Linked DNA regions of Drosophila melanogaster. The protein of the gene in region 1 interacts with the protein of each later gene in a biochemical or structural test. Each region holds a gene or a part of one and is shown in the gene's direction. Other genes may lie near its edges.

The links.
Region 2: the proteins of fu (region 1) and ci form a complex in vitro, tested with the Drosophila melanogaster proteins (2 studies listed by BioGRID, with this or other methods).
Region 3: the proteins of fu (region 1) and cos form a complex in vitro, tested with the Drosophila melanogaster proteins (4 studies listed by BioGRID, with this or other methods).

What each region holds. Positions count from the first base shown.
Region 1 is NC_004354.4:18,653,518-18,664,264, forward strand, and holds fu (fused), read left to right. Parts: upstream 1-4,237; 5' UTR 4,238-4,322; coding exon 4,323-4,433; intron 4,434-4,505; coding exon 4,506-5,875; intron 5,876-5,934; coding exon 5,935-6,509; intron 6,510-6,577; coding exon 6,578-6,939; 3' UTR 6,940-6,971; coding exon of another isoform or gene 6,972-7,151; 3' UTR 7,152-7,687; downstream 7,688-10,747. Other genes in the region: CG6659 (uncharacterized protein), read right to left, coding at 469-673, 779-904, 1,030-1,223, 1,290-2,753, 2,807-3,128, 3,197-3,458, 3,581-3,626; CG6696 (uncharacterized protein), read right to left, coding at 6,972-7,151, 7,722-8,158, 8,212-8,385, 8,448-8,631. UniProt on the Drosophila melanogaster protein: Probable serine/threonine-protein kinase; maternally required for correct patterning in the posterior part of each embryonic metamere. May be involved in control of cell division during metamorphosis and ovarian development. May interact with costal-2.
Region 2 is NC_004353.4:50,378-60,232, reverse strand, and holds the start of ci (cubitus interruptus), read left to right. Parts: upstream 1-3,901; 5' UTR 3,902-4,364; coding exon 4,365-4,402; intron 4,403-7,848; coding exon 7,849-8,216; intron 8,217-8,278; coding exon 8,279-8,919; intron 8,920-8,975; coding exon 8,976-9,488; intron 9,489-9,552; coding exon 9,553-9,717; intron 9,718-9,770; coding exon 9,771-9,855. UniProt on the Drosophila melanogaster protein: Has a dual function as a transcriptional activator and a repressor of the hedgehog (Hh) pathway. The full-length ci form (ciFL), acts as an activator (ciA) while ciR, its C-terminally truncated form, acts as a repressor. Involved in segment polarity.
Region 3 is NT_033778.4:7,379,580-7,391,773, reverse strand, and holds cos (costa), read left to right. Parts: upstream 1-4,658; 5' UTR 4,659-4,794; coding exon 4,795-5,446; intron 5,447-5,504; coding exon 5,505-6,216; intron 6,217-6,272; coding exon 6,273-6,691; intron 6,692-6,754; coding exon 6,755-8,577; 3' UTR 8,578-9,598; downstream 9,599-12,194. Other genes in the region: Gr43a (gustatory receptor 43a), read left to right, coding at 1-219, 276-627, 690-752; Dhx15 (DEAH-box helicase 15), read right to left, coding at 967-1,094, 1,153-1,506, 1,574-1,696, 2,264-2,527, 2,593-3,066, 3,346-4,139, 4,194-4,246. UniProt on the Drosophila melanogaster protein: Regulates cubitus interruptus (ci) processing by recruiting multiple kinases to promote its efficient phosphorylation.

The sequences.
Region 1 (10,747 bases):
CCACACGCGTCTCATCGTCATATGTATACTACATGCGTAAATGTAAAAAGCTTAGCTTAAACTTAACGAAAGTATTTAGAGTTAAGGTCGCTCCGTTCGGCTAGATTAACTTATTCGAATGCGAGGGCGCAGGCGCAGGTGCGGGTGCGGGGAATGATCCAAACAAGGTTTGAACGCAGCGGCGCGGAAACAAGTCAAGCTGCTAAATGCATCCAGTTTACTATCTAGCGGAAGGGGCCTCCTTCTAATCGCCAATCTGCCATATCAAATCAGCTACTACGCGGGATCGGGATTTGGGATTGGGTGCGAGATGTGTTCGGGCATCCGAGGTTGGGGCAATACTAAACGTAATCATAATACACACACATCGTAAAATGCTAAATCCTAGTCACACAGCTCACACAGCTACGTACAACACAACACGATTCCAGCATTCCATCATCGCGCCGCCTCCGTGGACGGCCAGCCCTATATGGACATCTCGGGCATCTTGTTGTGCTTGAGGTTGATCTGGACGCTCTGCGAGAACATCTTGATAATGCCGTAGTGGTCGTTGGCGAACACTTTCAGGAAGCTGGGCACGTTCTTGTGGAGCAGCTCGTGGCAGAACTGTGGGTATTTTTGGTAGGCCGGCTGCTTGTCATCCCAAATGGCCAGCAGATCGCAATCGTCGCTGTTGTAGAAAGCAGGCAAAAGTACATATTAATGCGATAAGAATACAATATCTCAATTAAGCGTTCAAGTGCCCGTCTCGAGGATTTTGTCTGCGTCTACTCACCGCACTTCGTTGGTGCACTCGTCCAGCGATATGATCAAGTACTGGATCTTCAGCTGGGCGCACTGGTTGTAGATATCCGACGACTGCTGACGACTGTACACCGAGTACACGTGCTCCGTGCGCTCCCTTAAAAAAGATAAACAAAGGCGGAAGTTTCAGTACGTGCATGGCCAGGATATGGATGCCAATGAGAGCGGGACAGAGCAGGGGCATAGTCGATAGGCTATCTCGCTCAGATTGGGAGAACTTACGCTATCTGACGCATCTCCAGGTGCGCATGGTTGACTATGGGCCGTTTGGTGGTCAAGTGCACGGTGCCGATGATGTCCACGGGGCCGGCAAAGACCGCATCTCGCTCTGTGTTCAGCTTGATCCACTCGAGCATGCTGTCCAGGTCGTCACCGCTCTTGGAGTAGCGCGTGGGGAAGTACTCTTCGCGAATGTTCTATTTTTGAGAGGGCGACGAAATCACAACAATTCCCGTGAGCAATAGAGGCGGTATCCAACTTACCACCATGCCCGGATCGAACATGCTGAGCAGGAAGACGGCCAGCGAGACCGACCAGAAGATGTTGCGCTGGCGATGGTACCACAGTTTGGAGCAGACGGTGGGTGCGATGACGCAGCCCTGCGTGAAGCTGAGGAAGAAGAGCTTGCGCACGGCGAGTCCGATAAGGGTGAAGACTAGCATCTGCAGGAAGCTGTACACGTAGTGCATGTTGAGGATCTGTGCGTTGGCCGTGGGCACCACGGAGCTGCGTCTGGAGGAGCTGCGCTTCCTCTGTCGATGGCCACTCGAGTTTGAGCCGCAGCCGGCGGCGGTGGCAGAGTGTTCCTCCTCCTCCTCTTCATTGTCCGCGGACCTGGACGGCGGCGTTTCAGTGGGATCTGCTGCAGACTCGGTCTCCGTTTCGCCACTACCTGGCTCCTGATTCTTCTTCTTCGATTCCGATTCTGCTTCCGGATCCTTATCCTCCTCCTCAGTCGGCGTGCTGGCCCCGTCGGTGGCCGCTTCTTTGGTTTCCTGCGCCCGCTCCTTGCGCTGCTTGACGCTGTTGCGGTTAATTTGCGCTCGCAGCCGCTTGATATCCTGCATAAAGTCGTCGCGGGCGGGCGGCTGCTCCTTACGCAGGCTGGCCTGTGCGCGCTTGTAGCGCTCGTAGTCGTAGTCGCAGCTTTTGAGCAGGCGGAAGCACTTATACAGCTGTTTCTCCGTCTCCTTGCTAGACATGTCGCTCATGGAAACGAAGTGCTCCTCTATGAAGTCTTCCAGCACGTATTTGCGCGCTCTCTCGCGCTGCTCTTCGGTGAGGGCACTTACTGGGGCGCCGCTCTTGCGCCAGCGCCGGAAGAACATGGCCAGCATGACCACGCCGTACATGCAGTACGGCTTAACAATCATCGTCTTGACCAGCTGCCACAATTCTGACCAGGCGACGCGCGCGTACTGCGGATTGCAGGCGGAAAGGTGGGCGACAAAGCCGACATTGACCTGCAGAGCCCAGTGGGCACATATGTCGAAGAAGTGCTGCTGGTCGCCTTCCGTCACACTGACCACGCCAGCCCGATTGAAGAGCTCTATCAGCGTGGTCTGCACGCTGCTGGCGAGCAGCAGTGTGAGCATGAGGAACTTCAACGAGAATAAGTCGCCGTTCAGCAGATCCTGCGCGTGTCCCAGTCGCCGGCTGCGCACGTGACGCAACTGTCGCACCATTGTAATCAAAAATAGGAACAGCGAGATGCTCAGCTGCCAGGTGAGAAGCAGCTGGCTGTTGCCGTGCGACATTACAAAGGCGAGAGCGTGGCCCAGCAGGTGCGACAGCGAGTAGTCCAGCACGAAGGCGTTGACCAGAGCCGTGGGCAGCGCGCTCGCGTTCCAGGACGTCATCATGATCAGGATCTGGGTGGTGAAGATGAAGGTGGAGAACTGCCAGGAGAGTAGGGCGCAGGCGGTGAAAAGCGACATGGCGAAGATCTTCGAAGGGCAAAGATGTTACTGAGCTTAATGCAATAAAGCACACCTATTACCATGAACATGCGAGATGTGTGCCGCTGTCGGTGTATGATCCTTCCGATGCAGATACACAGATAAAACATCTGCAGGAAAATGAACGGAAAGGCGAAGTTCTCCCGCGCCAGCGGCCGCTCATAGATCTTGGCCACGAAGCTGTGGAACATCAGGTACGAGATTACGCCGTATATGCCACCGAAAATGTTCTCGCTGAGCAGCGTTCCGTACAGGTAGAGTACCAGCAGGGTTACCCCGCCCATCAGCCACACGAACTCCAGATAGAACTGCATCGGTTGCACCATTGGATTGAAGCCGGAGCGCACTACGTGAAAGAAGTACCTTTGGGGAGCGAAAGTGCATCTGCATTAGTGGACTTTTTGGGCATCACTCCTCTGGCAGTCACTTACGCCGTGACCAGCTCCGGCAGCACGTAGAATCGCTGCAGCACATTGACACTGTGCGGATACTCGATGTCCGTGACGTTCTTCAGCTGCTCGTAGCCGTGCCAAAAGTCCGGCCCTTCGGCCAGCTGCTTGTAGAAGGCATAGTACAGGGCATCCTCGCGCCGCAGAAGCGCCTCCCGCTCCAGCTGATTGAGCTGCTGGATGTTGGTGCGCGTCTCGAAGATCACGCGCACATGCTGCACGTATAGGAAGAAGAAGCCGCAGCCTGGGATGCGGATTGGAATTGGGAGTGTGGTCAATGGCAGTGGGAATCCCCAACTCAATTAGACTGCCGCCTGGAAGCGGAAGAGGCGTGGCAGAAGTGTCTGCCGGTTGGCGGAAACTCACCGATCAGCGCGTGCGACAGGATCACGTACAGGTTGGGCTCGCGCATCGTGCTGCGATTGTGGGTGTCGTCTCACTGGGTGGCTGTGTTCAAATTGGCAATCATTATTTATTTCACAACGATTATTCCTGGCTCCGCACAATAAAAACCAGCCAGCAATCAGCTGTTCTTCGGCCGTGCTTGTCTAGGGTGACCGTACCGAGTTGCTGTCAAAAGGGTCATTTGTGTTGGTTTGGTCACACTGAATTTTAGGTACATTACGATATATAGGTACATACCTATAATTAGTTATATTATCTACTGCACTTTTGGAATTTTTAATTATTTATATTGCATATCATTTATTGCACTTATTAAGTAAAAATTTGTACATTAAGAAATATATACATATAAATATTTATAATATATAATAATATATAAGTTAAAGTTCGTTCCAACTTTTATCACTTAATAAATGTTTATTCGCAGATAATACTAATACCTACTGCCACAGATAAAAGCGCAAACTAGTCTTGTATTTGTCTTGGATTGTATCATGATCTGGTCTATATAGATTTTTAGGTACAATTGCTGTCCAGCAAAAGCGTCATTTATCAGAAAAGGAACCCTGTATGAGCAATCTAGTATTTTCATATACCTACGTACCGAAGCCGAGTTCCCACCTCGGAGTCAACCTGCTACGGTCATACCGCACGCACTTCAGTGGTAATCACATCCCAATCCGCAGCAAAACAAAGAATAACCATGAACCGCTACGCGGTAAGCTCGATGGTGGGGCAAGGATCCTTCGGGTGCGTATACAAGGCGACACGCAAGGACGACAGCAAGGTGGTGGCCATCAAAGTGATCTCCAAGGTGAGTGGGGCGGGCCAGGTGATAAAGCAACAAGTCCATACAACTAGTTCACACCATATTCATGTTCTGCAGCGCGGAAGAGCCACGAAAGAGCTGAAGAATTTGCGCAGGGAGTGCGACATTCAGGCCCGGCTGAAGCATCCGCACGTCATCGAGATGATCGAGTCCTTCGAGTCGAAGACGGACCTTTTCGTGGTCACTGAGTTCGCGCTGATGGACCTGCACCGCTACCTGTCCTACAATGGAGCCATGGGCGAGGAGCCGGCACGTCGGGTGACCGGGCATCTGGTGTCCGCTCTGTACTACCTGCATTCAAACCGCATCCTCCACCGGGATCTCAAACCGCAAAACGTGCTGCTCGACAAGAACATGCACGCGAAACTCTGCGACTTTGGACTGGCCCGCAACATGACCCTGGGTACCCACGTGCTCACCTCGATCAAGGGAACGCCCCTCTACATGGCCCCGGAGCTGCTGGCGGAGCAGCCGTACGACCATCATGCGGACATGTGGTCACTGGGCTGCATAGCCTACGAAAGCATGGCCGGTCAGCCGCCCTTCTGTGCCAGCTCCATCCTGCATCTGGTGAAGATGATCAAGCACGAGGACGTCAAGTGGCCGAGCACGCTGACTAGCGAGTGCCGCTCCTTCCTACAGGGCCTGCTTGAGAAGGACCCCGGTCTGCGCATATCCTGGACGCAGCTGTTGTGTCACCCCTTCGTTGAGGGACGCATCTTTATCGCAGAAACGCAGGCGGAGGCGGCCAAGGAATCGCCTTTCACAAATCCCGAAGCCAAGGTTAAGTCGTCAAAACAGTCCGATCCGGAGGTAGGCGATCTGGACGAGGCCCTGGCCGCTTTGGACTTTGGCGAGTCGCGACAGGAAAACTTGACCACCTCCCGCGACAGCATAAACGCCATTGCTCCCAGCGATGTTGAGCATCTTGAGACCGATGTGGAGGACAATATGCAACGTGTGGTCGTTCCCTTCGCGGACTTGTCCTACAGGGATCTGTCTGGTGTTCGGGCAATGCCGATGGTACACCAGCCGGTGATCAACTCGCACACTTGCTTCGTCAGTGGCAACTCCAATATGATCCTCAATCATATGAACGACAACTTCGACTTTCAGGCTTCCTTGCGGGGCGGAGGCGTGGCCGCTAAGCCAATAGTCGCTCCAACCGTACGCCAGTCGCGCAGCAAGGATCTAGAGAAGCGTAAGCTTAGTCAGAATCTGGATAACTTCTCTGTTCGCTTGGGTCACAGCGTCGACCATGAGGCGCAACGCAAGGCCACGGAGATTGCTACACAGGAAAAGCATAACCAGGAAAACAAGCCTCCCGCTGAAGCAATTTCCTACGCAAATTCTCAGCCCCCGCAGCAACAGCCACAACAACTTAAACACTCAATGCATTCCACCAATGAGGAAAAGCTGAGCAGCGAGTAAGTGGCCACTGCGCCTCATAGAATTTCTTTTACTAACTTTCCCCTTTCAATAACAGCAACACTCCGCCGTGCCTGCTCCCGGGGTGGGATAGCTGCGATGAATCCCAAAGTCCGCCCATCGAGAACGATGAGTGGCTAGCCTTCTTGAACAGATCGGTGCAGGAGCTGCTTGACGGCGAACTGGACTCATTGAAACAGCACAACCTGGTGAGCATTATTGTGGCACCGCTGCGCAACTCCAAGGCCATTCCACGGGTACTCAAGAGTGTGGCCCAGTTGCTGTCGTTGCCCTTTGTGCTGGTGGATCCTGTTTTGATTGTTGACCTCGAGCTCATCCGCAACGTGTACGTGGACGTAAAACTGGTGCCCAATCTCATGTACGCCTGCAAGCTGCTCCTGTCGCACAAACAACTCTCGGACTCGGCTGCCTCCGCCCCACTCACCACGGGTTCGCTCAGTCGAACGTTGCGTAGCATTCCGGAGCTAACTGTCGAGGAGCTGGAGACGGCTTGCAGTCTGTACGAACTGGTCTGCCACTTGGTACACCTGCAGCAGCAGTTCCTAACGCAGTTCTGCGATGCGGTTGCCATTCTGGCAGCAAGCGATCTGTTCCTCAACTTCCTCACGCACGGTAAGATTACCCTTAGATGGTATGAGCTGACTCCTGTAAACTGTTAGCCCGTTCCCGTTCTCCCGTAGACTTCAGGCAATCGGATTCAGACGCCGCCTCTGTTCGCCTGGCTGGGTGCATGTTGGCCCTGATGGGCTGTGTGCTGCGCGAGCTGCCCGAAAACGCGGAGCTTGTAGAACGGATTGTCTTTAATCCGCGGCTAAACTTCGTCTCGCTCCTGCAGAGCCGACACCACCTGTTGCGGCAACGTTCCTGTCAGCTGCTGCGCCTGCTGGCCCGCTTCAGCCTGCGCGGCGTGCAGCGCATATGGAATGGAGAGCTGCGATTTGCGCTGCAACAACTCTCTGAGCACCACTCGTACCCGGCACTCCGTGGGGAGGCCGCCCAGACCCTCGACGAGATCAGTCACTTCACTTTTTTCGTCACCTAGCCGGCACTTTCTTTTATTGGCCTCAGGCGTTTTTATCCGAGCAGATCCTGAATGTTGCCCTGGAAGTAGTCGAGCAGTTCGTCGATGTAGTTCCCGAAGCGGTCGAAGTTGAGCAGGTAGTCCTCGCTGCAGTCCTGTTCGTACATCTCGTTTAGCTTGGACACATCCTTGTCGGAGAGGCCGCGTCTCTGGCCCAGCGAGGCGTACGGATCCTGGAAGCAAAGGACAGGAGTCAGAGAGTGTAGACGATGCAAGCTCCCCCAAGTCATTACAAACATCTCATCGCTTCAACTAAAACTGCTAAGGTGTAGTCAACCATTCAGCTAAAGAATTCTCATTTGATATAGTTCCAACTGGACAAGGAAGCAAAATGCTTCGTCTATTCCTAGCATAGTTGCACGTCATTGGACCATGTGTTAATATAGGAATTCCTAATCTGAATATGATCAAATCACTATCACTATCGAATTTAAATATTTTATGAGCCACGGTTTTTGGCATTCCTAATGGAATCTAAGTTAATTGATAGGTGTTTTTGAATGCACATATTCAAGTGTGGTTTGTGCAAAATAGATTGATAGCATTATAGTTTGTATATCGAAATATAACATTTAGGTGTAGTAATTGTTAAGATAAGCGAATTTACTGTATGTCCATACAATAGTCCATTAATTCGCAGTATTACTATTGAATGTTAAACTGAACTCCTTTACAGTGTAAGCGATTTAAAATAATACTCAATTACATGAATAACTGGTAACCATTTGGGTTGGCCTACTCACCAATGGCTCTATGGTGGCTTTCCCGTTCTTGCTGAAGGCCCGCGAGCTGTAGTGCATGACGCTCTGGTAGTCGTACTCCACCCCGAAGTTGGTGATGTGGGTGCGGGCGTACTTGTTGAAGTTGTGCGCGTGCCCGTCGAGGATGTTCTCCCAGTTGATCTTGACGTACTCATCCCGCTCCGTGGCGCTCTGCTGGTGGTAGAAGCCGAGCGCGTGCAGCAGCTCGTGCACCACCACGCCGTGTGTGACGCACTTGGGTGTGTTCAGGTTGAGCACCTGGCCACCCGAACGCCGGCCGACGCTCGACCAGCAGCCGGAGTAGTTGCCCTTGATGAGCAGCCAGTGCTTGTCGCCCTGTTCGTACGGCCGGAAACGTATGCAGGTGCGGTCGTGGTACTCCTTGAAGGCCTTCAGTATGACCATGGTCTGGTTGGCGTCTGTTTGGAAAGGGTGTTTTACTACTTTGGACTGCTTGCAGGCCTTAACTCACTGAAGTCTTGCGGGTCTATGTAGAAGGGCACGGCGGCCTCTGGCCAGGTGAGCCGCTCGTTCAGCAGCCCGTTCCTCAGCAGCTCGCGGTGCAGCATGATGTCGCCCTCGAAGAGGCCGCAATGCTCCCATATGTTCGTATCGCTGTCCTCCGTCCAGAAGTTGAAGGCAGGACCTGCAAGTGCCAATGGTTGAGTGCATCGACTACTAGCGTCTGATATGATGTTGGGTACCTACTGTTGTGCCGGCGCAGCATCTGCATATTGGCGCCCCACCTGGCAGCGGGCGGCACCGCGGGTCGTGCGCGAAGAAGCGCCTTTCGCGTGGCCGGGGTACTCGCCTCCAAGGTGGCGGACAGGGCCAAGGCCAGGGCAGACCAAAAACAAATCAGACCGGGAACGATGAGCGCACTTCTCGGCATTGTTGGGGTAAAAGAAACGCCGGCCATGTTGCGTCGACGCTTTTATATGGCACTGCGTAAAGGGGCGGGGCAATGACAACGGCAATGGCAGTTCCAATTGAAAGTACGAGTGAGTATTGAGTGACTGACTGACTGGGCGACTGAATGGCGGACGCCCACGCCGCTGGATTTCGGATTTATGCATAACTTAACTGACTTATTGGCTCTCTCTTTCGGCGCGCATTCAAATTCCCCCGCCTCGACTTTTACGGCTTTTGGTTCCAAATTTAACTGGGATATTGGGTTATCAGTGGCAACGGCGTGCGCATATGAAAATAGCACACTCTCTTTCCCAGTACCAGCGCCAGTGACAGTGCCAGTTCCAGTGCCAGTGCCAGTGCCAGTACCATTACCCAGTGGCGGTGCCTTCCTGTCTTCCTATCTCGAATCGATCTTCATTTCAATCTCGATCTCACGTCCGCACAGAAAGAGAGAAAAAGCGGCAGAGACACCATGGAAAGCCGGGAGGAGTTCTTTGACCCCCATCGATTGATGATGTTGATGGCCAATGACAGTTGGCATCTGTCGGTGGCAAAAGTGAACGCTGTCAGGTATCTGGTCATCTTCTCCCTTTCTCTGACCCAGACCCGGATGGCTTGGCTTATCCGTCAGTTGAGTGGGTCACTGCAGTGGCAGTGGCAGTGGCGCTGGCCGTGGCTCCAAGTGGGTCGCCGAGTGGGCACCCACAAGATCACCAGAACACGATTTCGTCAAGTTCAGATGTGGGACCAGGCTGCCAGGCAGCCAGGCAGCCCACCATCCATCCAGCCATTTTGGCCAATCTGTGAGCCACAATCTAGATCCAAAGCGGCTTTCTTGTGCAGCGCCAGCAATTACCAGCGGATGGCGATGGAGTGCCATACATTTCTTTCTAACTTGTTGCGGAACAGCCACTTACTACTCGCTGTTGCTAATGCTGCTGCGGCTGCACTTTCACTACGAAATTGCACCAAAATCTAAGCCACATCGCAATGGATTTTGAGAACATTTTGGTCATGGCAACTGGAAATGCGCCTGGCCAGCAGCATGTTTAGCGGATGCAGAAACTCCGGGCACAAGACTCCCAGCTTCATTCAACTACATCTCCGAATCCGAATCCGACTACCACTACGACTGCAGCATCAGGGGCAACGACAGCAAAACACATTTGACGTACTATCTGCGATGTACTTGATCTTTGTCGAAAACTTGACACACTTTTTTCGGTCAACGGCTGGCGGCGGCAAATGGCAACGACTTCCAGCTCGACTGCGGAAAATTCGAGGGAAATCGCTAGTTACACAGGGGAAAACTTTAACATGTATAGATAAACTGGCAATAACTAGCAGCTTGCATTCTGAGTGTATCTGTTTAAGTTTTACGATTCTCTTAATTTGAAAATTATAAAGAATAAAATATAGTCAATATATGTAACAACAAAACTCTCATTAAAATCTACCACTAATAACTATATGTATTAAACATAGACTAAGCAATCTAGTTTTTTTTCGAGTGCATTTAGCAAAATAGCATGCTAAGAGTCGCGTCATCAGCATCGTTTCAAATGCAATTTTAAATTGAGAAAGTTTAGCGGACAGAGATTGTGAATTTGCGACAAGACAAGCGGGGCCATAGATGCAGATGCAGATGCAAAGATACATGGATGTAGAGACCGAGTGGCTGAGTCTCTGGCTCCAGGCGGTAATTGACTTCCTGCATGGCGCTGAGAACGCTGGCTTTCGGTGGGTGTTAGATGGTTGGATGGTTGGCTGGTTAGATCGTTGGATCGTTGGATAGTGGGTTAGTTGCTTCGTCGGACTGTTGGGTGGGTTCTTGGCCTTTGTTGTTTTTCACTTTTGGCCAGCGGCAGTCACTTTCTGCGCCACTGGCCCAGAAACGAGCCTTGTTTGCGGAGTCATCAAGTGCTAGGAGACGGAGTTGAAGTTGGAGTCGGTTCGTCTCCAGAGATCAGATTTCTCCACTTCCTTTTGGCCGCTGCTGACACAGAACTGTCATCTTGTCATCTCGAGGCATTCGGCCAGTGCGAATCCGAATCCAATTCTATGCCCAGCCCCAAAGGGGAGTTCCAAGTGGCAAA
Region 2 (9,855 bases), on another chromosome or scaffold:
GTCTTAATCGAAAAAGAAACTGGATTCAAGAAGACATTATACGTTAACGGCTTGAATGTATATACAGTATACGTAGATATATGATATAAATGTGTGTATACATATACGTATACACAAGTGTGCGAGCATATCGCTTAAGCCGAACGTTCTCCACCCTTTTCGGCTTCGAACCGGTGACTAATTAAGCCTTTAAAATTTGTACTGAACCAAAGAAGAGAGGATAATAAAGTCATTGGGTACACCGCATAACTAAAGTGCTGTAATGGCAAGCAAAAAGTAGAAAAAATATTAAATATTAAAAATTATTTTGAACCATTTTTATATTACTGCTTTAACACTGAATTTATTATTTAGACGATGTGATTATTGATTTGTTAATAAATTATATATATACATTTAAAAATTATATAAATTGTTATAAATTATATAGATAAATATATACATATATCTACATATGTATATTTATGAAGACAACTCAAAGAATTTTTTAAAACCACATATGTATGTACATGTCTTATAATACTTATTTAATTGTGGAAAACATATGTACATGCTTCAATACACTAAATAATACTAATAATACTAAATAGATATGAATACATATGTTTCATTACGGACCTACGCACAATCCGTTATTTTTTGCAAATTATGAAGATGTGCAAAGTTGTTTGAAATTATTTACAATTTACATATATACATTTATATATATAAGTTTGGATGCGAAAATGTACGTACATATGTATGTAATTGAGCATATGTGTATGTATTTATTTTTATGATAATACTTAGAGATATGTATGTATTTATGTTCATATGTATAACAAAATTTCTGGTTTTGTAGTTTCCAAGAATCGACAAAACGTTTTTTATAAAAAGGAATGGGACCACCAAACATACATACATACCTATATATCTATGTATATTTATGTATGGGTGCATATACACGCTTAAAGAAGCGTACAGACGTACCTGCAAATACGATTATCTTGTGCGGATATTTATACACACATATACATACATTCATAAAGGGTCTGGAAAATCACACAAATGTACGTTAAGCAAACATACAGATTTGTTTGTATGTGTAAGCTGTAGAAGCACAGCATGTGTCCGCTTCTTCATAGAGTTTTGAGTAAGACGTTAAATTACAAAAGGCCTGGCACATACACACACAAGTATGTATGTATATAGATGCATACAATATACATACAAACGCATGGGTATCAAAAGAATCTGACGATACCAGATTCAATCCTGCTGTGCACTTGCAGGAAAAATGTTATTTTTCTTGTTTTAATGCCGGACAAGGATACACCATACACATCTACATATGTATGTATGTACAGAGTTGTTTTATAGTTAGGAAATTCATTGCCAAGACTAGTCAACGGTGGTTGTAAAATATAAATTTTTGCAGATACAGGTACAACGGCGTTAAGCATAACTTTAATAAATAAATTTCTTCGTATAGACATAAATATATGAATGAATGAACATATATATGAATATGAACATATAAATACAAATAAATACATATAATACAAATAATACAAATAAATGTATATGTACGTGTTCGTCAATGGACGTATCAAAAAGTATTTATGTATGTAAATATAAGCCCTGTAAATCGTAGCATGAGTTAATATTAATTGAGCTGCATAATATAATGTGAGCTGCAATTTCTTTTCTAATCTCTTACATATGTACATAGCTTTATAGTTCTTTGCTTAAAACGTTTCGAAAGATTTTTATTTTTATTTACATATGTAAATATACATATGTATATAAAACCGTTCAAAGGCATTCGAAGAGCATATGTACATACCTATATTGTAATAATGTTCTAAATAACATTTTTTTTACATACTTAAATTAAAAACAGAATTTTTTTTTAAAGAAAGGATGTGGCTTTCTTAATGTTCCTTATTATTATTGAAATAAACTGGGTATACAAACTTTTTGAATCTTTTATTTTATATTATAACCACTACGAGTACACGGGCGAGAAGGCATTAAAGTATAGTAACATAATATAAAATATACTATGGTATTTATACAAAAAATTTTGTCATAACAAATATTTGTTCGGTATAAAATATATGTACATATATACATACGATGCAAAGTATATAACGGCCACAAACTGCCGAAGACTGTCACACCCTTTTAAAAGTGACTTTTAAAAGTGATGTACCAAAAAAAAGTCATACCCACTTCGAACGATCACAAATTACAAAACCCTTGGAGGTTTGCAAAATACCTCTTTTTGAGATTAAATATATTATCAGTTTATTTCTTCAAAAACACCAAAAATTATCAGTATAACTTCATCACCTACCCATTAATATAAAACTTAACTAGTTAAAATCACCTTTAAAGACGGGGTTAAAAGACAGATGCCACCAAAAAGTACATATGAATATTCTTGGACAGCCATATTCACTGAATATTAATGGCATAATGAAAATAATTATGCTCTCCACTTTATTCGATAAATTTTACTAAATTTGACGACTAATTATGTAGCTTTATCAAAACTGTGGCTTGCCAAAGCTATCTTGTACTAGGCACAATTATATTTAATAGTTCAAGTCGCTTTTTTTTTTAATTACACGCGTTATGAACAAACAAGTCTCCGAAATTGTATTTTTCTTTAAGTAGTGTGTCTTTACTATTAAATACCTTTTTCAATAAACACAGCCAAAATTACTAATGCAGTTCGGAAATAGACGCGTTTCCATCATTAAAGTAGAACATTGATTGACATGAATTTATAAACTTTGTTATATTGCTTTGTTTAAAACATTGTCGTTATACTCACCTAGATCGTCTTTAGACCGCAAAATGTCGTCTAGGTTAAAGCCGTATATCAGATAAAAGAAATTGATTGACCCTAGCCGAATCAATCTAGTTATGCCCGTACGTAATATCGTGTCGGAAATTATAAATCCAATTTGGTTCAAGACAGTGTTGTTGAATTGACCAATACAGAACTAAGGGGCGAAGTGTTGCAATCGAAATATTAATTTTCAAAATTTATAAACAAGTATTTAAGCGCTGCCAGAAGTAACATTTATTTAAGCATCAACATTGCTATAACCACATACCCAAGGGGTTGGAAACATTTTAATTGTTGGATTGTTAGATTACCGAGTCTACTACCTTATTAACATCATATACTATTTAATGAAACTAGTATACCCAATATACCCATAAGATAGGGGTAAAAATTCGATGCATTAAGTACACTGAGTGCAAAAATACTGTGTCGCAAATATTACACCAAACCAGTCTTGATAGGATAGAAAACAGTTATGTATGTTTTCATCAAGAATGCTATTCGCAAGGGCAAGGCTATAATAGATAAATACGACTACAAATACATGTTTGTATTTTAATATACTGGATATACTGGGTATAATGGGTACAAATATCAACGAGATAGCCAAAATCAAGATTGAATCGGGTGTACAAGCTACTGTAAGATTAATCTATATATATATATATATGTATGTGTGTATATGTATATAGAGATAGGCGTTGCCAATAACTTTTGCGTTTTTTGCTTAAAAATAATATTGTATCGCCGAGGACAAAAATTACCCACTGAGAGACACAAACTACTAGCGTAAAAATATCTATATTAACAGCACTGGCATCGAAAAGTATCTTAACTCACGTACGAGTATATGTATTGTGTGGCCATCTTCGATCTGCCCGCCTTCGCCGACTGTTCGTGATCCGTAGGTACACACAGACATTTAAATCACCAATGCACTTGTTACTGTATTGTATTTATGTTTGTGAACCTACACGTATCTATGTAGAATCTGTACAAGTATCTGTGTTTGGACAATGGCATGTGTGAGAGGAGATCCGAACTGCTCCATCTAAACTAACGAAGCATTGCAACAGCTAGTGTTAATGTCGCTCAGTCCACTCGTAAGAAACATAGGAATAAGACGCAGCATTCAAAAAATATTGACTTGTCTTACAAAACTGATTTTCATTGTTCGCTACTTAATATTTAGTGATAAATATATTACTTCGGGACTGATAATCTTATGAATATACGTGTGAGATTTGGCGATACCCTTCATTACTTAGGAAGCCGAGCGCATAAGCTCACACCATTATAATATTTAAGTGATATGAATATTAAATATTAAAATTTAAAACCAACTTTTTAATCAAAGAGTTTCCTTAAAATTGTTTAAGTTGCCGATCAAAAGTGGAAATTTATGCGTGCCGTTATTTGAAATACCAATCTTTTGAAAATGTTTACGCCGACGGTTAATATTATTTAAAAGGATAATTGAATTTATAAAACGACGTCATTCTTGTTGTGGACTAACTTTAATGAAATGGACGCCTACGCGTTACCTACATATTTTCCTCTTGCGTAAGTTTTTATTTGCATATTCGAGAAGTAAGCCTTACAATAGAAAAATATCTACATTTTTGTTTAAAACGAGGAATTTTAAGATTACAGTCCATGAAATGTTTAGAAATGTGTAAGTTAAATAATAACAATTAAATAATAATAATTAAATAATTAAAAAAATAAAAAATAACAATAATTATTGTTATTATTATTATAATAATTATATATAATTACATATAATTATATATATATTATATAATTATTGTTATTATTATTATAATAACAATAATAATAATAATAAAAATAATAATAATAATTTTAATAATTATAATAACTATGGTAACAATAAAAAAGAATAATAATAATAACGATTAACGGGTATAAAAATGTTTATTATTATTATAATTACTATTATTATAATTTTTATGATTAATCAATAAATAATAAACATTTTTATACCCGTTACTAGATTCGTTGAAATGAATGTAACAGGCAGAAGGAAGCGTCTTAGACCATATATAGTATATACATACATGTATATTCTTGATCAGGATCAATAGCCGAGTCGATCTTGCCATATCCGTCTGTCCGTATGAACGTCGAGATCTCAGGAACTATAAAAGCTAGAAGGTTTAGATTCAGCATACAGAGACAAAGACGCAAGTAGCCATGCCCACTCTAACGTCCACAAACAGCGCAAAACTATCACGCCCACACTTTTGAAAAATGTGTTGTTCTTTTCACATTCTGATTAGTCTTTTACATTTCTATCGATTTCTAAAAAAAAACTTTTTGCCAACGCCCTAAAACCGCCCAAAACTCCGACACCCACATTTGTAAAAAATTGTTGGGAATTTTTTTCATAAATTTATTAGTTTATTATTTATTATAAATTTAAGTTTATATCGATTTGCCGACAACATATTTTAATTTTTTTTCTCATTTTATCTTTTATCTATCGATATCCCAGAAAAATTGTGCAATTTCGCATTCACACTAGCTGAGTAACGGGTATCTGATAGTCGGGAAACTCGACTATAGCATTCTCTCTTTTTGAAATTGCGGACGTGCCCGTTTCTGCGGTTAAGAGCGAGCGTGGAAAAAATAATTTTTAAATATCGATAGAAGTCGTAATCTAATTTTGAATTTAAAACGCTGCATTCAAAGATATTGCTATGTTAACATCGAAGCTAGCCAAAAGAAAATTATGTTGGCGTTTACATAAAAATTATATAATAATAAATAGTAAATACATTAAAATACTTAAAAAAATTAGACTCTAACTTTATTGTTGGTTGATCGAGAAGTTACTTGAATCTGTATGTCTGAGATTAATAATCAAGAATTTTTTTATATATCAAATGAATCGGATTATAATAGCGGGGTTTCTTATAATCATGTATCTAATGTCTTTGCTTATGCTTGCCGGTTTGAGGGCGTTAGAGCGATACAAAAACTTTTTAGCGAATCGATAGAAATTTGCAAGACTTCATGAAAAACAAGAGAGACTGTTATAGTCAATTTTCCCGAATATCACAAACCCGTTACTCAGCTAGTGAAATGGAGAGTCCAAAATTTCATAATTTTTCTGGCATATCGATAGATATTGGGGAAAAAAATGAGAAAAATAAAAAAAATTACTGAAGTATGGGCGTTAGCATTTTGGGTGTTTTGTAATTGTTAGGAGGGGCCGAAGTGTTTTTGGCTTACCATAAACATTGACATCAAATTAAATAAAATCAAAACATTTTGCAAAAGTGTGGGCTTGGCAGTTTGGTCGGTTTGTGTTCGTTAAAGTAGGCGTGGAAACATCGGTTTGTATGGATGGGTATGCTTAATCTGAACCTTCTACCAAAGACACTAGAATAACAAGATGCGTAACGCCATACAATTTTTTGGCACACGATTTTTTCGCCGTGGCTCTAGAGGTGGCTCCAGGCTCTCTCGAATTTTTGTTAGAGAGCGAGAGAGCAGAGAGTGCTACAGCGAACAGCTCTTTTCATCGCATAAAGTGATAGCAGACAACTGTATGTGTGCACACGTATGCTCATGCATTGTAAATTTGACAAAATATGCCCTTCACCTTAGAAGTTCTTTGACTTTAAATCTATATTATTTTTGATCAATTGGCACCATGTGAAAAATTCTTGTTTTGCATTGCCTTAACGTTATTATTATATGAAAATAGATTAGAAAGAGCCAAATCTATGTACATATTATCACAAAAATAAATTTAAAAATGACTTTATATATTTAGAATATTTGTCATTAGAGTATTCGTCTTGCGGCGTGTAAAAATTAATTAGGCAATGATTGTTGAGTGCTTGTGTCCGCACTTCGTGCCTCAAGATATGACCAAAGCAAAGACACTAGAATAATTCTAGACTTTTGCAATAAACAGTTATCATATTCTTATGGAATTTATGAAATTCCAGTAGTTATAATAATTTCTATTGTACTTCCTTTAATTATTTACTATATTTATTAAGTCATTTAACATTAAAAGTGTTTCAAAAAAAAATATTTCGCTTTTAAAAAATTGTCAGATGAGAGACAAATTAGAATTAAACATAAATATATATGTGTAAACGGTAGCTAATTCGATCGGCGATTTTAACAAACAAATTTTAAAAGCTTTAATTAAGCGCGAATTTTAAAAAAATTATTTAATTTCATCATATTTCTAGGAAATTGGCAAAAACTACCCTAATATGTACAATGTAAATTCGTTTTTTCGATCAGAATTGATTTCGGCCCGAAAATAGTCTTCTAGCACAACACGCACACATATACGCGTTCTCGTCTCTTGTTTTTACTCACACAAGCAAGCAAATTCTATTTTTAGATTTCTTACGCTCTCAGCGTGAGCGAGCGGAAAGAGAGCAATTTTGGTCGTAGAATTTCTGTCGATTGCCAAACAAATTTTTTACATGACCAGTGCAACGCCCTAAAGCCGCCAAACCCGTCACGCCTACACTTTTAAACAATTTTTAAATTTTTTGTCATTATATTCCTTAATATCTATCGATATCTCAGAAAAATGATTAAATTCACATTCACACTGGTATTAACAACGGGTATCTGATAGTCGGGGAGCTCATCTACATCATTCTCTCTTGTTTTGTGCTGTTTTTGGGCTTTGGGTGTAGGAGCGTCCGGAAACAAACTTAGCAGTGTAGGCGTCACTAGAATCATGAATCATGATTCATCTGAACTTCTGGCATATATATATATATACAAGAGTTCCTTGGCTCTTGGACGGACTTACGATCATGGCTAGATCGACTGTTCAAGAATATATACTCTAAAAAGTCAAACGTTTCTTTCTCCCTAAGTAAAAATGATGATTACAAAAATGTAAACCCAAATACGAGATTTTTGGGTGATGATAGACGATTTATAGTACTTACGCACTTATAGATGATAAACAAAATTTAACAAAAAATTTATTTTATTTCCTATAGGTATTCTGAATTGCAGTTTTTAGCGTCCAGGAGAGCAGCTGCCGTCGCTGCAGCGGCTACTGTTTTACCAGGATCACCATGCATAAACCAACATCACCCAACTGACGTTTCAAGCTCGGTAACAGTGCCATCAATTATTCCAACGGGTGGAACATCAGATTCAATTAAAACTTCAATACAACCACAAATATGCAATGAAAACACCCTTCTTGGAAATGCTGGCCACCAGCACAATCATCAGCCTCAACATGTTCACAATATAAATGTTACTGGACAGCCACATGACTTTCACCCGGCCTATAGAATTCCCGGATACATGGAACAGTTGTATTCTCTTCAACGAACTAATTCAGCTTCATCTTTTCACGGTATTTAACTTCTTGTATTTGTAAAAAAGTAACCTTAAAAAGTATGGATTTTTGTTTGTTAGATCCCTATGTCAATTGTGCATCAGCATTCCATCTTGCCGGACTTGGTTTGGGATCAGCTGATTTTTTGGGCAGCCGAGGTTTGAGCTCTTTGGGTGAACTGCATAATGCTGCTGTGGCAGCAGCAGCAGCCGGATCTCTCGCAAGTACTGATTTTCACTTCAGTGTTGATGGAAACAGGCGGTTGGGTAGCCCTCGACCACCAGGAGGAAGTATACGTGCCAGCATAAGCCGCAAACGAGCACTTTCGTCATCGCCTTATTCCGATTCATTTGATATTAATTCAATGATTCGATTTTCGCCAAACTCTTTAGCCACAATTATGAACGGTTCTCGAGGAAGCAGCGCGGCTAGTGGTTCTTACGGTCATATTTCTGCTACCGCCCTTAATCCCATGTCTCATGTTCATTCAACCCGTCTGCAACAGATACAAGCTCATTTATTGCGTGCAAGTGCAGGTCTGTTAAATCCGATGACACCACAACAAGTTGCTGCATCTGGATTTTCTATAGGGCATATGCCAACCTCTGCTTCTTTGAGAGTGAATGACGTACATCCTAATCTAAGCGATTCACATATCCAGATAACAACATCCCCAACTGTTACAAAGGATGTAAGCCAGGTCCCAGCGGCAGCATTCTCGGTAATTGTTAATTAATTTAAAATATTAAAAATGATTATATTATATCGTTTATCTAGTTGAAGAACTTAGATGATGCAAGAGAGAAAAAGGGACCCTTTAAAGATGTTGTCCCCGAGCAGCCTTCATCGACATCTGGCGGCGTAGCACAAGTAGAAGCCGACAGTGCGTCTTCACAGTTGTCTGACCGTTGTTACAACAACGTGGTAAACAATATTACAGGCATTCCTGGTGACGTTAAAGTAAACAGCCGCTTGGATGAGTATATTAATTGCGGATCAATTTCGATTCCGTCAAATGAATATGATTGTGCTAATGCTGATACTACGGATATCAAGGATGAACCCGGAGATTTCATTGAAACAAATTGTCATTGGCGTAGCTGTCGCATTGAGTTCATTACGCAAGATGAACTTGTTAAACATATAAATAATGATCATATTCAAACAAACAAGAAAGCTTTTGTCTGTCGATGGGAAGATTGTACACGCGGTGAAAAACCATTTAAAGCGCAGTATATGCTTGTTGTGCATATGCGGCGTCATACCGGTGAAAAGCCACACAAATGCACGGTAAGATTAATAAATTATATAAAACAATTTATATGAATTCCATTTTAAATCATGTGTAAATTAGTTTGAAGGCTGCTTTAAGGCATATTCACGTTTGGAAAACCTGAAAACTCATTTACGGTCACACACAGGAGAAAAACCATACACTTGCGAGTATCCGGGATGTAGCAAAGCCTTTAGTAATGCTAGTGATCGCGCAAAGCATCAAAATCGAACACACAGTAATGAGGTAAGTCTTTCATCTATATAAAAGTAATATTTTTCATTTATAGCTATTTTTAGAAACCGTACATTTGTAAAGCACCTGGATGCACAAAACGTTACACCGACCCGAGCTCTTTGAGAAAACATGTAAAAACAGTCCATG
Region 3 (12,194 bases), on another chromosome or scaffold:
GCCAGCGATGCCATCGGCACTCCACGCGAGCCTGACGAAGCTGAACGGCGAAACCTTGCCCAGTGAAGCCGCAGGTGACAAGGCAGCCGCACGCAGTCTAATCCTCAACGTGGAGTTACTCAAATTGGGTTATTTTCCAGCCAAGAACAAGGGGTTGCTCCTCAAATCCCTGGCGGACAGTCACGAGTCGCTGGGAAAATGTGTCCACCTCCTGTCCAAGTAAAGTTATTCCACATCCCATGTTTTCGTGCTTCTTACCTTCCCGCACTTGACAGCTCCTTCGGCATTGCGGTTCTCTTCATCCTGGTGTCCTGTCTGCTGCACCTCGTGGCTACGGCCTACTTCCTCTTTCTGGAACTGCTCAGCAAGCGGGATAACGGCTACCTGTGGGTGCAGATGCTCTGGATTTGCTTTCACTTCCTGCGACTGCTCATGGTGGTGGAGCCGTGCCACTTGGCTGCCCGAGAGTCCCGTAAAACGATCCAGATTGTTTGCGAAATCGAGCGGAAAGTGCACGAGCCCATTCTCGCGGAGGCAGTTAAGAAGTTTTGGCAGCAGTTACTCGTCGTAGATGCTGACTTCTCCGCCTGCGGATTGTGCCGCGTGAACCGCACCATTCTGACATCGGTAAGGATTTAGACTACACTTAAATAATATCCATGTATTATTCTAATGCTATCTGGTTGCAGTTTGCATCCGCCATAGCCACCTATCTCGTGATTCTCATTCAGTTTCAACGGACCAATGGCTAAAGTTATACAAAAAGTGGCTTGTTTTTTATTAACACTATTAACTAAACGGAGTTCTTGGATATTATTGATCTGTTAAAGTGTCTATGTGCTTGAATCAAGTTAGCAAACAATAAAAAGCAAACGGGTTATTTTTCTTAGAACTTGCTAAAATTCACACACTCTTATCCATGATCCATTCTCCATCATATTACAACTAGCCATACTCTGGGGGGACTTAGAAACCCTTCTGGTACTGCTTGGTCTCCAACCGCTGTTGCAACAACTCCAGCTGTCGTTTCGCCTCGCACTGGGGGAAGTTGTTCAAGTCATAATATTGGGGCGCCAGGCAGCACAACCATTCAGCTATAAATGTAAGAAATGCTTACAAAAATGACCCTGAAATGCGGAAGTTGCTACTCACGTTTGACATCTGTCACCGTGCGAATGTAGTTCTTTGTAGTCAGCACGAACTCATTGTAGATGACCCAATCGGGCTTGTGGTCGAGACAAGTCGACGGATGCAGCTGCACGTTCTGGTTGTCCTTGATGGTCAGATAGTAGCCAGTGCGCTCCAGGTGGGCCACCTGCATGAAGAAGCCCTGCACGAGGGCCTTTCGGATGTTTACATAGTAGTCCTTCGAGGTGAATTCAGTGCTCGTGCGCCGCAAGTTGAAGCGGTCCATGATTCTAGCCAGCTGCTGGCGCACGTTATCCGCACTCTTTAGCGAGCGGAAGTTTATGAAGTTCTCGTAGCACCAGTTTGGATCCTCACTGCCTGAAAGAAATAAAGAAATATGTCTTTATGTTTCCATTTCGAGTATAGGTTGGTTTAGTTTACTTACTCTGCTTAAAGGCGTGATAGACATTAAGCAACGTCAGGTGGTCTCCGTCAATGTGGGCGAATCGCATCTTGGCCTCATCGGCAGCTTTCTTCGCCTCGTTGGGGCGAACGAAGCATTGTGGAACTTTGGCACGTTTGAATTGGTTTAGTTTCGATTAAGCGCAAGTTCAAAACAATTTTTAACATAAACAAATAGATTGTGCTTTCATTTTGTCAGCTAGGCAATCTAGAGGCTTGATTCAAAGATTGATTGCATTTGTGAGTTGCAAGTGCGTTCGCGGAACATTAAAAGATAAAAACACTATTTATTCGGGCATATTTTGCACATCAATCCATTCAAATAATGGGCTTGGACTTTTAAACGCATGTGCAACTTTTCTTTTCGAGTTGAATGCAAAGAACAAATAAATTGAAAAACTTTTTCCTTTGCATTGTTGCTTAAGAAATTACATAAATCCCTTCAAGAATATAGAATATACTTCCCCGAAACCTCAGACTTTCAATTTATAACGTAGAAAGTATTCACGGCAGCCACTTTAACGGAAATAAATGAAAGTATGCATCGGCACAAATCGAAATTAGGTACAAGTCGTATTTACGTATTTGAAAAACGAAAAGTGACAGCCATGAAAGTATAAGTGCGACCCCCAACTTATCGAAGACAGTTTCTTAGATTTGTGTTTTATCTCACCCGACAACATGGCCGTTATGGAAAGTATTTCATTAGAGCAGTTATGTTGGCAGCTGGCAATCAGCATTTTGGCCAGCTGCGGATCCAATGGAAACTCGGACATAACGGCACCCAGGTCTGTAAGATTTCCGTCATCATCCAGGGCGGCCAGATAGTTGAGCAACTCCAGGGCACGCATCAAGGTCTCTGGAGCAGGGGGGTCCATAAAATCGAAATGCACCAGATCATCGATGCCCAACTTCTTGAGCTGCAGAACCACAGTGCCTGCTCAAAAATAAGAAACAAGATATTAGAAATCGAGTAATACTTCCAGGGGATCTAGGCATTACCCAAATTGGAGCGCAGAATTTCGGGGTAGGTGTTGTCCTGCATCTCGTTTTTAAACGCCTTTTCCGTGTACAGACGGAAACACTTGCCAGGACGCGTACGTCCAGCACGACCGGATCTCTGCTGCGCAGACGCTTTTGAAATGGGTGAGACGAGCAGACTCTCCACTCGAATGCGAGGATTGTACACCTTTTGCTTGGCGAAGCCTGGATCAATCACGAACACCACTCCGTCAATGGTCAGCGAGGTTTCGGCAATGTTGGTGGACACCACGACCTTGCGTCCAATTGCGCCATTAGCATTTGGCGGCGGGGCCGGTTCGAAGATGCGCTGCTGCAAATTGGGCGGCAGCGTCGAGTACAGGGGAATGCATTTCAGCTCTCCAATTTCTGAGCCCAAATTGTCGATCTCGCGCTTGATGCGCTTGCAAGCCTCCTCAATCTCCTCCTGGCCCGTGAGGAACATTAGGATATCACCTAGAGTAGCAAAATCAAGTTGGGGTTTAGTTTACAATGGAAAAAGCGAATGCGTCTTTTCCGGCATTGAATAGGATCATATTCAAAAGTCGTAAACACTTGAATGATTACAATACCATTAAAGCAAATACGAAGCATTTGCCGCCCTTCGGCACTCGGAAAGTTTATATTTTGCCTGGCACTTTTACATTGTAAACATATGATCGATAAATGCTTCTTAGAACAATGAACTAGCAAGCTATTAAATGAACTCCAAGCTAAACTCATTTACCAACTTACCCTCAATTTCCTCGCACATGTGTATCTGGATTACCGTGCGAATAGCAGCCTCTAGGTAATCTCTTTCTGGTTCGGGCGTGTAGAAGATCTCCACGGGATGTGTGCGACCGGGCACTTTCATGAGCGGTGCGTTGTCGAAATACTGCTGGAACTTGCCGGCGTCCAGTGTGGCGGACATGACCACCAGCTTAAGGTCGCTGCGCTGACGAATGACCTCCTTGAGCACGCCCATTAGAATGTCAGTGGCCAAGGTCCGCTCGTGAGCCTCGTCAAGCAGAATGACCTGGTACTGGTCCAGCATGGGATCAGACATGGCCTCGCGCAACAACATACCATCGGTCATGTACTTGAGCAGCGTCTTGGCCGTGGAGCAGTCCTCGAAACGGATGGAGTAGCCGACCTCTTCGCCCAGTTTTACGTCCATCTCCTCCGAAACGCGCTGGGCCACGGACATGGCGGCAACTCGACGTGGCTGTGTGCAGGAGACTCCCTTGCGCCCCTTGGATACTGCGAAGTCCACGCACCACTGCGGGATCTGGGTCGTCTTGCCGGAGCCAGTCTCGCCCACCAGCACAATACACTGGTGCAGGCTGAGCAGCCGCATAAAGTCCGCCTGGTACTCGAACACGGGCAGCGCAATGCGCTTCTTGTAGAGATTCTGGTACCGTTGTGAGTACGGCGTGTTGGTCAGCGGGTTCATCGTGGGCGGTTGCTTGTTGGGCACGAATCCGCCCAGGATTTGAGCCACTGTGCCGGCAGCGGCTGCCGCCGACGAGGAGGACGCCTCCGGGTCCCTGGTGAGAAAGGAGCGTTACATTACTGCCGTATGTTGGCCTCGGGTCACTTACTTCTTCGCCTTGCTGCCGTAGGTCTCCCCCACTTCGATTCGACGCTTGGACATGCTAATTTATGGTGATTACTGCACTTAATTCTCAAAACGAAGCGTTTAGCACAAAAAAAAACACGCGCTCAGTGAGACCTTTAGCATATACCGACCATGCTGATCGCAACTTTTAAAATACCAAAGTTTACTGTCTGTGTATACTATATAAGCCCATGGTTAGCGAAGATCACAACCAACAGCACGGCAGCAATTTGGCATTTAAAAAAAAACAGCAGTTCAAGCTTAAGTCTTTTGACGAGAATCTATCTATAGAATTCGGTTTTACTCACCAGTTTGAAGAATAGTTGTGAGCTCACAGTCTTAAAATTGACATTTGACAGCAATTTGATTGGAAACTGATTTTGATTTTTACAGTAACAAACTGTTACATGGATTCGGTATTTTCGGCTTGGGTTGGCGCTTTAGCGTCGGCCACACTATCACATTGTATCGATTCGGAGGGAGTTGAATTTTTGCACGTATTTGAAAGCGCAAAGATGCGAAACAAAGAGCAGGATATCGAATGAAAGAGCTCCTGCGAGACCAGGACTAGTTGCCTAACCACCATGGAAATACCCATTCAGGTAGCGGTGCGCATCTTCCCGCATAGAGAGCTCAAGGACTTGTTGAGGAGCTTCGGCCCCACAGAGCCCAAAAAGGATGCGCAGGCGGTGGATGAGGGGGCGGACTCCAAGGACTCCGAGGCTCAAGTTCCGGCGGCTGAGAAGGACAATCCGTCAATTTCAGAGACGGACCCAAACGGGAATGCTGAGCAGGACAGTGCGGCCGATTCGAAGACAATTCCAGATGCCAATGGCAACGACAGTGGTCAGAAGGATTACCCAGACTCCGCATATTGCGTTCAGGCTATTCCCATCAGCGCTTCGGCCCTGGGATTGCCCAGTGCCCTGCCAGGCGGAGATCCCATGGACAGCATTGCAGCTGGACTGATACAAGTCGGTCCCCACACGGTTCCGGTCACCCACGCCCTGCCCAGCAGCAGCTCCCAGGAGCAAGTGTACCACCAGACGGTCTTTCCGCTCATCACCCTGTTCCTGGAAGGTTTCGACGCATCTGTAGTCACCTATGGCCAGAGGGGCCAGGGCAAAAGCTACACACTCTACGGAAACGTCCAGGACCCTACTCTGACGGATTCCACCGAAGGAGTCGTCCAACTTTGTGTCCGTGACATTTTCTCACACATATCGTTGCACCCAGGTGAGTTTACTAAAAGGATCTTATAAGCATAGTTATCCATTTCCATTTTCACTTTAAGAACGCACCTATGCCATCAACGTGGGATTCGTGGAAATTTGCGGAGGTGATGTCTGCGACTTGTTGGGCATGGGAAACATACACTGCACCAACGTAGATGCCGTCTTCCACTGGTTGCAGGTGGGTCTGTCGGCCCGCCAATCGTTGCCGGCGCACACCCTGTTCACGCTTACCCTGGAGCAGCAGTGGGTGTCCAAGGAGGGGCTGTTGCAGCACCGCTTGTCCACGGCCAGTTTCTCGGATCTCTGCGGCACAGAGAGATGTGGAGACCAGCCACCGGGACGTCCTCTCGATGCTGGCCTGTGTATGCTGGAGCAGGTGATCAGTACTCTCACAGATCCAGGCCTCATGTACGGGGTTAATGGCAACATTCCGTACGGTCAGACCACGCTCACCACTCTCCTGAAGGACTCGTTCGGCGGACGGGCTCAGACGCTCGTGATCCTGTGCGTGTCACCGCTGGAAGAGCACTTGCCCGAAACTCTTGGCAACCTGCAGTTCGCCTTTAAGGTGCAGTGCGTACGTAATTTTGTAATTATGAACACCTACTCCGACGACAACACGATGATCGTTCAGCCGGCTGAGCCTGTTCCCGAATCCAATTCCTCTGCTGGACCCTTGTCGCAGGCGGGACCAGGGGACAACTTTGGCCTACAATTCGCAGCAAGCCAATGGTCCAAACTAGTTACCAACGCCGAGGGGCTATTTTCCAAGTAAGTGTACACATTATTTCCGATGTGGGCCTTTTGACGACAAAAGAAATTTATAGGCTGATAGACTCCAAGCTAATTACTGAAGTGGAGAAGGAGCAGATCGAGGAGTGGCTCTTCCTCAAGCAGGAGTGCGAGGAGTGTCTCAGCTCAACAGAGGCTATGCGTCAGCAAAAACAGTTGGTTCCCATTCTGGAGGCCGAGGAGCCCGAGGACGTGAATTCTGAAGCAGCCAATTCGGAGTCGCCAAACTCCGACAACGAAAACGACACAGACAATGAGTCGCATCGGCCCGATCTGGACGACAAGATAGAAAGTCTAATGGAAGAGTTTCGCGACAAAACAGACGCTCTTATACTTGAAAAACACGCTGAATATCTATCCAAGCATCCGAAGGCGGTTATGCAAAGCCAAGACCGCGAGATTGAGGCACAGCCGCCAGAAGAAAATGGTGATGATCGAAAAGTCAGCATTGGCAGTAAGTCTTTGCCTTGAATAACATTTTTTTATACAGTAACATGTTGATTCCTTGCTTTAATAGGTCGCAGGAGAAGTGTTCAGCCAGGTGCTAGCTTAAGTACTGCTGAGCTTGCCATGCTTAATCGGGTAGCTTCCCAGCAGCCGCCTCCGCCCATCGATCCTGAGTCGGTCGTCGATCCTCTGGAAAGTTCTTCGGGCGAAGGAATCCGTCAGGCGGCTCTCGCTGCCGCCGCCGCCACTGCTCCTATTGAACAGCTGCAGAAAAAATTGCGCAAACTGGTCGCTGAGATCGAGGGCAAGCAACGACAGTTACGGGAAATCGAAGAGACAATCCAGGTAAAACAAAATATAATCGCCGAATTGGTCAAGAACAGCGATACACGCAGCCATGCAAAGCAAAGATTTCACAAGAAACGTGCCAAACTTGAGGCCGAGTGCGACAAGGCCAAGAAGCAGTTAGGTAAGGCGCTAGTTCAAGGCCGGGATCAGTCGGAGATTGAGCGATGGACCACGATAATCGGACATCTCGAGCGTCGACTAGAAGACCTCAGCTCAATGAAGCATATTGCGGGTGAGAGCGGACAGAAGGTGAAGAAGCTACAGCAATCGGTGGGCGAGTCGCGAAAACAGGCCGATGATTTACAGAAAAAGCTTCGAAAGGAGTGCAAGCTGCGCTGCCAGATGGAGGCGGAGCTGGCCAAACTACGAGAATCCAGGGAGACTGGCAAAGAGCTAGTGAAGGCGCAAGGTTCTCCCGAGCAACAAGGCCGCCAGTTAAAGGCAGTACAGGCTAGGATTACGCACCTTAATCACATTTTACGCGAGAAGTCGGATAACCTGGAGGAGCAGCCGGGACCAGAACAGCAGGAGACCTTGCGTCATGAGATCCGCAACTTGCGCGGAACTCGTGACTTGTTGTTGGAAGAACGCTGTCATTTGGACCGCAAACTTAAGCGGGACAAGGTGCTGACGCAAAAGGAGGAGCGCAAGCTGCTCGAGTGCGATGAGGCCATCGAGGCCATAGATGCGGCCATAGAATTCAAGAACGAGATGATCACGGGCCACCGCTCCATCGACACGAGCGACCGAATTCAGCGGGAGAAGGGAGAACAGATGCTGATGGCACGCCTAAATCGTCTCTCAACGGAGGAGATGCGAACACTTCTGTACAAATACTTCACGAAGGTTATCGATTTGCGCGACTCTTCACGAAAGCTGGAGCTGCAGCTGGTGCAGTTGGAGCGTGAGCGGGATGCCTGGGAGTGGAAGGAGCGTGTTCTGTCCAATGCCGTGCGCCAGGCTAGACTGGAAGGCGAACGGAATGCGGTGCTGCTGCAGCGCCAGCACGAAATGAAACTCACTTTGATGCTGCGTCACATGGCGGAGGAAACGTCGGCCAGTTCGGCCAGCTACGGAGAACGAGCTTTGGCCCCTGCCTGTGTCGCCCCGCCGGTGCAGGCCAGTAGTGATTTCGACTACGATCATTTCTACAAAGGTGGCGGCAATCCAAGCAAGGCACTGATCAAAGCGCCAAAGCCGATGCCCACCGGCTCGGCGCTAGACAAATACAAGGACAAAGAGCAACGCAGCGGACGCAACATCTTTGCCAAGTTCCATGTGCTCACCAGATATGCGTCAGCTGCCGCAGCCGGTTCCTCAGGGTCCACGGCCGAGGAATCCACGGCCCTGATTGAGTCAACCACCACGGCCACGGCAACCACTACGTCGACAACCACCACTGGAGCCGTAGGAAAAGTGAAGGACAAGGCCCTGGTCAGCTTCAGGCCGGAGCAGCTGAAGCGTCTGATGCCAGCTCCGACGGCCACGAAAGTGACGCGTCAGAAGAACAAGATAATTATCCAGGACGCAAGTCGTCGAAACTAAATACGAATTTAACCATTTCCAGGACGATATTATAAGGTTAAGCCAAATAGCCATATACAATTAATAGCCATGAGCTGAAATCCAGCCACTTTAATAATTAAGGCGATAATATAAAAAAATGCTTAAAAATGTATAACAGATTACTCCCATATACATGCATACATTTTAATCAATAGTCCGACATATATACCAGCTTGAATTTATTAGTTTACTGCTTGTCGTTTAACTTATTAAAGTGGCTGGAGTTCGATATCTTTTTAAGTGTGAAGCAATAGCTCAGATCCTGGTAACAAGAACTGAACAAGTTTCGTCCACAGTCATGACACAAATAGACTACAACACATGGTTCTCATTCCGGCTCTTTAGCTGGGGAGCATTTATTTTAGAAACCCCCACACGTACATACACCTAGCATATGAAAGTAACTATCCTCATGAGATTCAACCGTAAAGACTTGACCTGCTACTTAAGATACTCGCAAGACAAACCGTACACAAAACTCGCTCAAAGTGTTGACCTAAGTCTCCGCATTGTTTAACTTGTACATAACAATAATTATTAGGTAACCACTTAATTTTAATTGATTTTGTTAGTTTTAGCTTAGTTGTAAACACTATTGTGTCTTCCCTCGAATTTTAATTGACCTTCGATACCAATTACAACATACGTACTCCATACCCAAGTGTTAACCTTTAATATTCTATCAAAAGCATTTACTCTGTACAACTTATAAATGCTTCAAATCGCAGTATTTGCGCTAATCCAATACTCATTTTGCATTAACTTAAAATTAAAATTCAATACTGTTTGGTTGTGTACAACGTATTTTTTATTGTCCATTGATATAGATGCAGTTTGCACTGTACTCCGAGTAACTTAAATTGATATTAATGTATGTATGTTCCCTCAATATCAGCGTGTGAAAAATTATAAACACATTTGTAAGCATACATATTCCGCCAAATCGCTCGGCATGGCTTTGTGTGGATATTGTTGGTTAAGCAAATAAATATATACAAACTAAACTAATCAATCAGTGTTTAATCAGTGTTTTATATTCAAAATAAAATAGTTATCGTCTTATAAAGATAATTAAGTTCTACATTTGCAGCTGAAATCCAAGCAAACACAGTCCACAAGGCAACAGGTGAGAAATGTCCCAGAAATTTCCCAAACAATCGCCCCTTCGGACACACACACACACAGAAAGCGCAAAGAGAGAGGATGAGAGGGAGAGAGAGAGAGCGCCGGTTTAAGCGTTGTATCTAAATCCGATGGCGAGTATCTGAGCATCCGATTCAGTCTTGTTTGGACCGTCGAGCGATCGAGAACCGGATTTCAGCGCTAGTCGGCGAATCGCGAGAGCGTGCGAGTATTTGTGTGTGCGTGTGAGCGTTTGTTTTGGGACACCGATACGGATACGGGTACGGATAGACGGATATACGGCAGCGGTACGCGATTAGCAATCCGCCAACCGGTTGCAGCGGTGCTAGTGCACCACCCTACAAAAAAGTGAATAATAGTATGCAAAGTATCTGAAAGATAGTCAAGAGCAGAGCAAAGTATCTGTGTTTGTGTGTGCCGTGCTTTTGTGCGGAGTCGCCACCCCCGTGGATTAGTGGCACCCTGCTGCAAATAGCCCACCACTCTCACAAGTGTGTGTGTGTGAGTGTTAACAATTAATCGCATTTAAAAAACAATTTGGCCAGCCGCAGTAACAATAACGGTAAGAAAAGTCGGCGGTACCGTTGGGAAATTTTCACCGTTGTCTGGCAACTTCTTTGTGCCCGTCGTGTATGTATAGGTTGGGTGCAGAAGTGTGCGTGAGTCCTGCCCACGCCCACCGAGTAGCGCTAGTCTGCGAAATCAACTGCAGGATGCTGTAGGTTGATATTTTATCGGTTAGATGATAATAGTCTTTGGTCTTCCTTATGATTTTTCGCCAGACGTTAAGTTTTTTCAATTTGGGAATGCAAAAACGGTTACTTTATGCACCGTATCACATCACACACACTTGCAAAAGGGTGTGAAAATGTACTGCCATGAGGGAGGAAATATGCATGTTCTACGACTCCCAAACAAGTTTCATACTAAATTTCCGAATGTCTTGTTTAGTACGTAGGGGAGTTTCTATATATTTCATGCTACTTTTTATTTATAAATCGAGTTTTAGAGGAAATAATTGCAGTCCCTGAATTTTCAGCGATTTTTTTTCGGCGCATGCGCCCTTGGAACCGCAGAAAAGCAACTCTGTGATTACCGTTGTATTCGCTTGTGCGTCCATTCGTGTGTGTCAGTCAGTGTGTGTGTGTGTGTGTGCAACCTGTGCCTCCTGCCGCCAGGTCCTTGGTCCTTTGTCGCCGTCAGGTAGTTTTCAGCTTTCCCTACTCAAAACGCTTCATTCTCAAGAACCTCTTAAAATTCTTCGCAGTTTCCATGTGGCACACATACGTCGCGATCCTTTCAGCGCACATGTGTGTGTGTGTGTGAGTCCTGATGTTAGTGTTGTTTCATCCCCTGCTTGTAAAATCACTGAAATCCCGTGCAGCTGCCTTCGTCCTTTCCTTGCTGGTGTGTCTGAAGTTTCCACTATTTGATTTTGCAAGTGTTGCACTACCCTCCTCCTCCGCTTCCTTCTGCGTCTGCTGGCGATATACTTTTTATTTTCCTGCTTCTTTTTCTGGTTTTTCGTCGGCTCGCCATCCTGTTGCTAGGCGGTTTTCCCCACCAGTTGGACCAGTGCCAATTTTCCATGTGACTCCCTGTTTTCAGAGCAATAAAATAGTCAGTGAATTACCTATACACCTATGAACTTGCAGTAATATTATTGAATAGTATTTTAGGCACTATTGATTTAATTTTTTTTAATTTCTGTTTACATTGATACTCCGCTTAATGTAAATTATTATACTTATTTTACAATAACTAATTATTTATTTACCCACATGAATTACTGGTGTCTCCCTTTAAATGTACTGAATAGATCCTGGACATTTTTTGAAATCGTTAATAAGCTTTTCTGAAAGTGCTCCACTCGTTGAGCGAAGTGCTCAATGAGTTTTGGCAACCAATAAAATCAATAAATAAATCCAATAGTGTGCCATTTTATTCACACACATTTCAGATAAGTTCTAAGTTGTTTTAGTGATGGTTACTCCACCCACTAACTAATTTATACACAGCACGCTGGTGGTTAAACAGATTTACTTTGGCCGCTCTCATCGATTTGATGAGAATGCACTCATCGGGTCGCTTGTGAAGGCAAATATTGATTTCCACTTGGGCAGCAACATGACACAGCGGAAAAGGTTAAAGTGAACAAAGGACCGAATAAATATTTCCTTTTGTTTCTACTGCCGCCGAGAGCACTTGAATCTCAATTAGGGCCGCAGTGCGGAAGCTCTGGGCGCGAATGGGTCACAGCAGCGTTTCTGGACAATGGATGTGTGTCCTCTGCCTCCGCCGACGACCCTGCACTGGGCCACTGCCCTCAGTGCCCACTGTGCCCCATCCGACCATTCCTGCGGCACCACCCTTCCTAAATTTATTGGCTCGTCACCCCAATTTAAAGTTACACATGCAGCCAGACGGGGCAACAAGAAGAATACGAAAGGCGA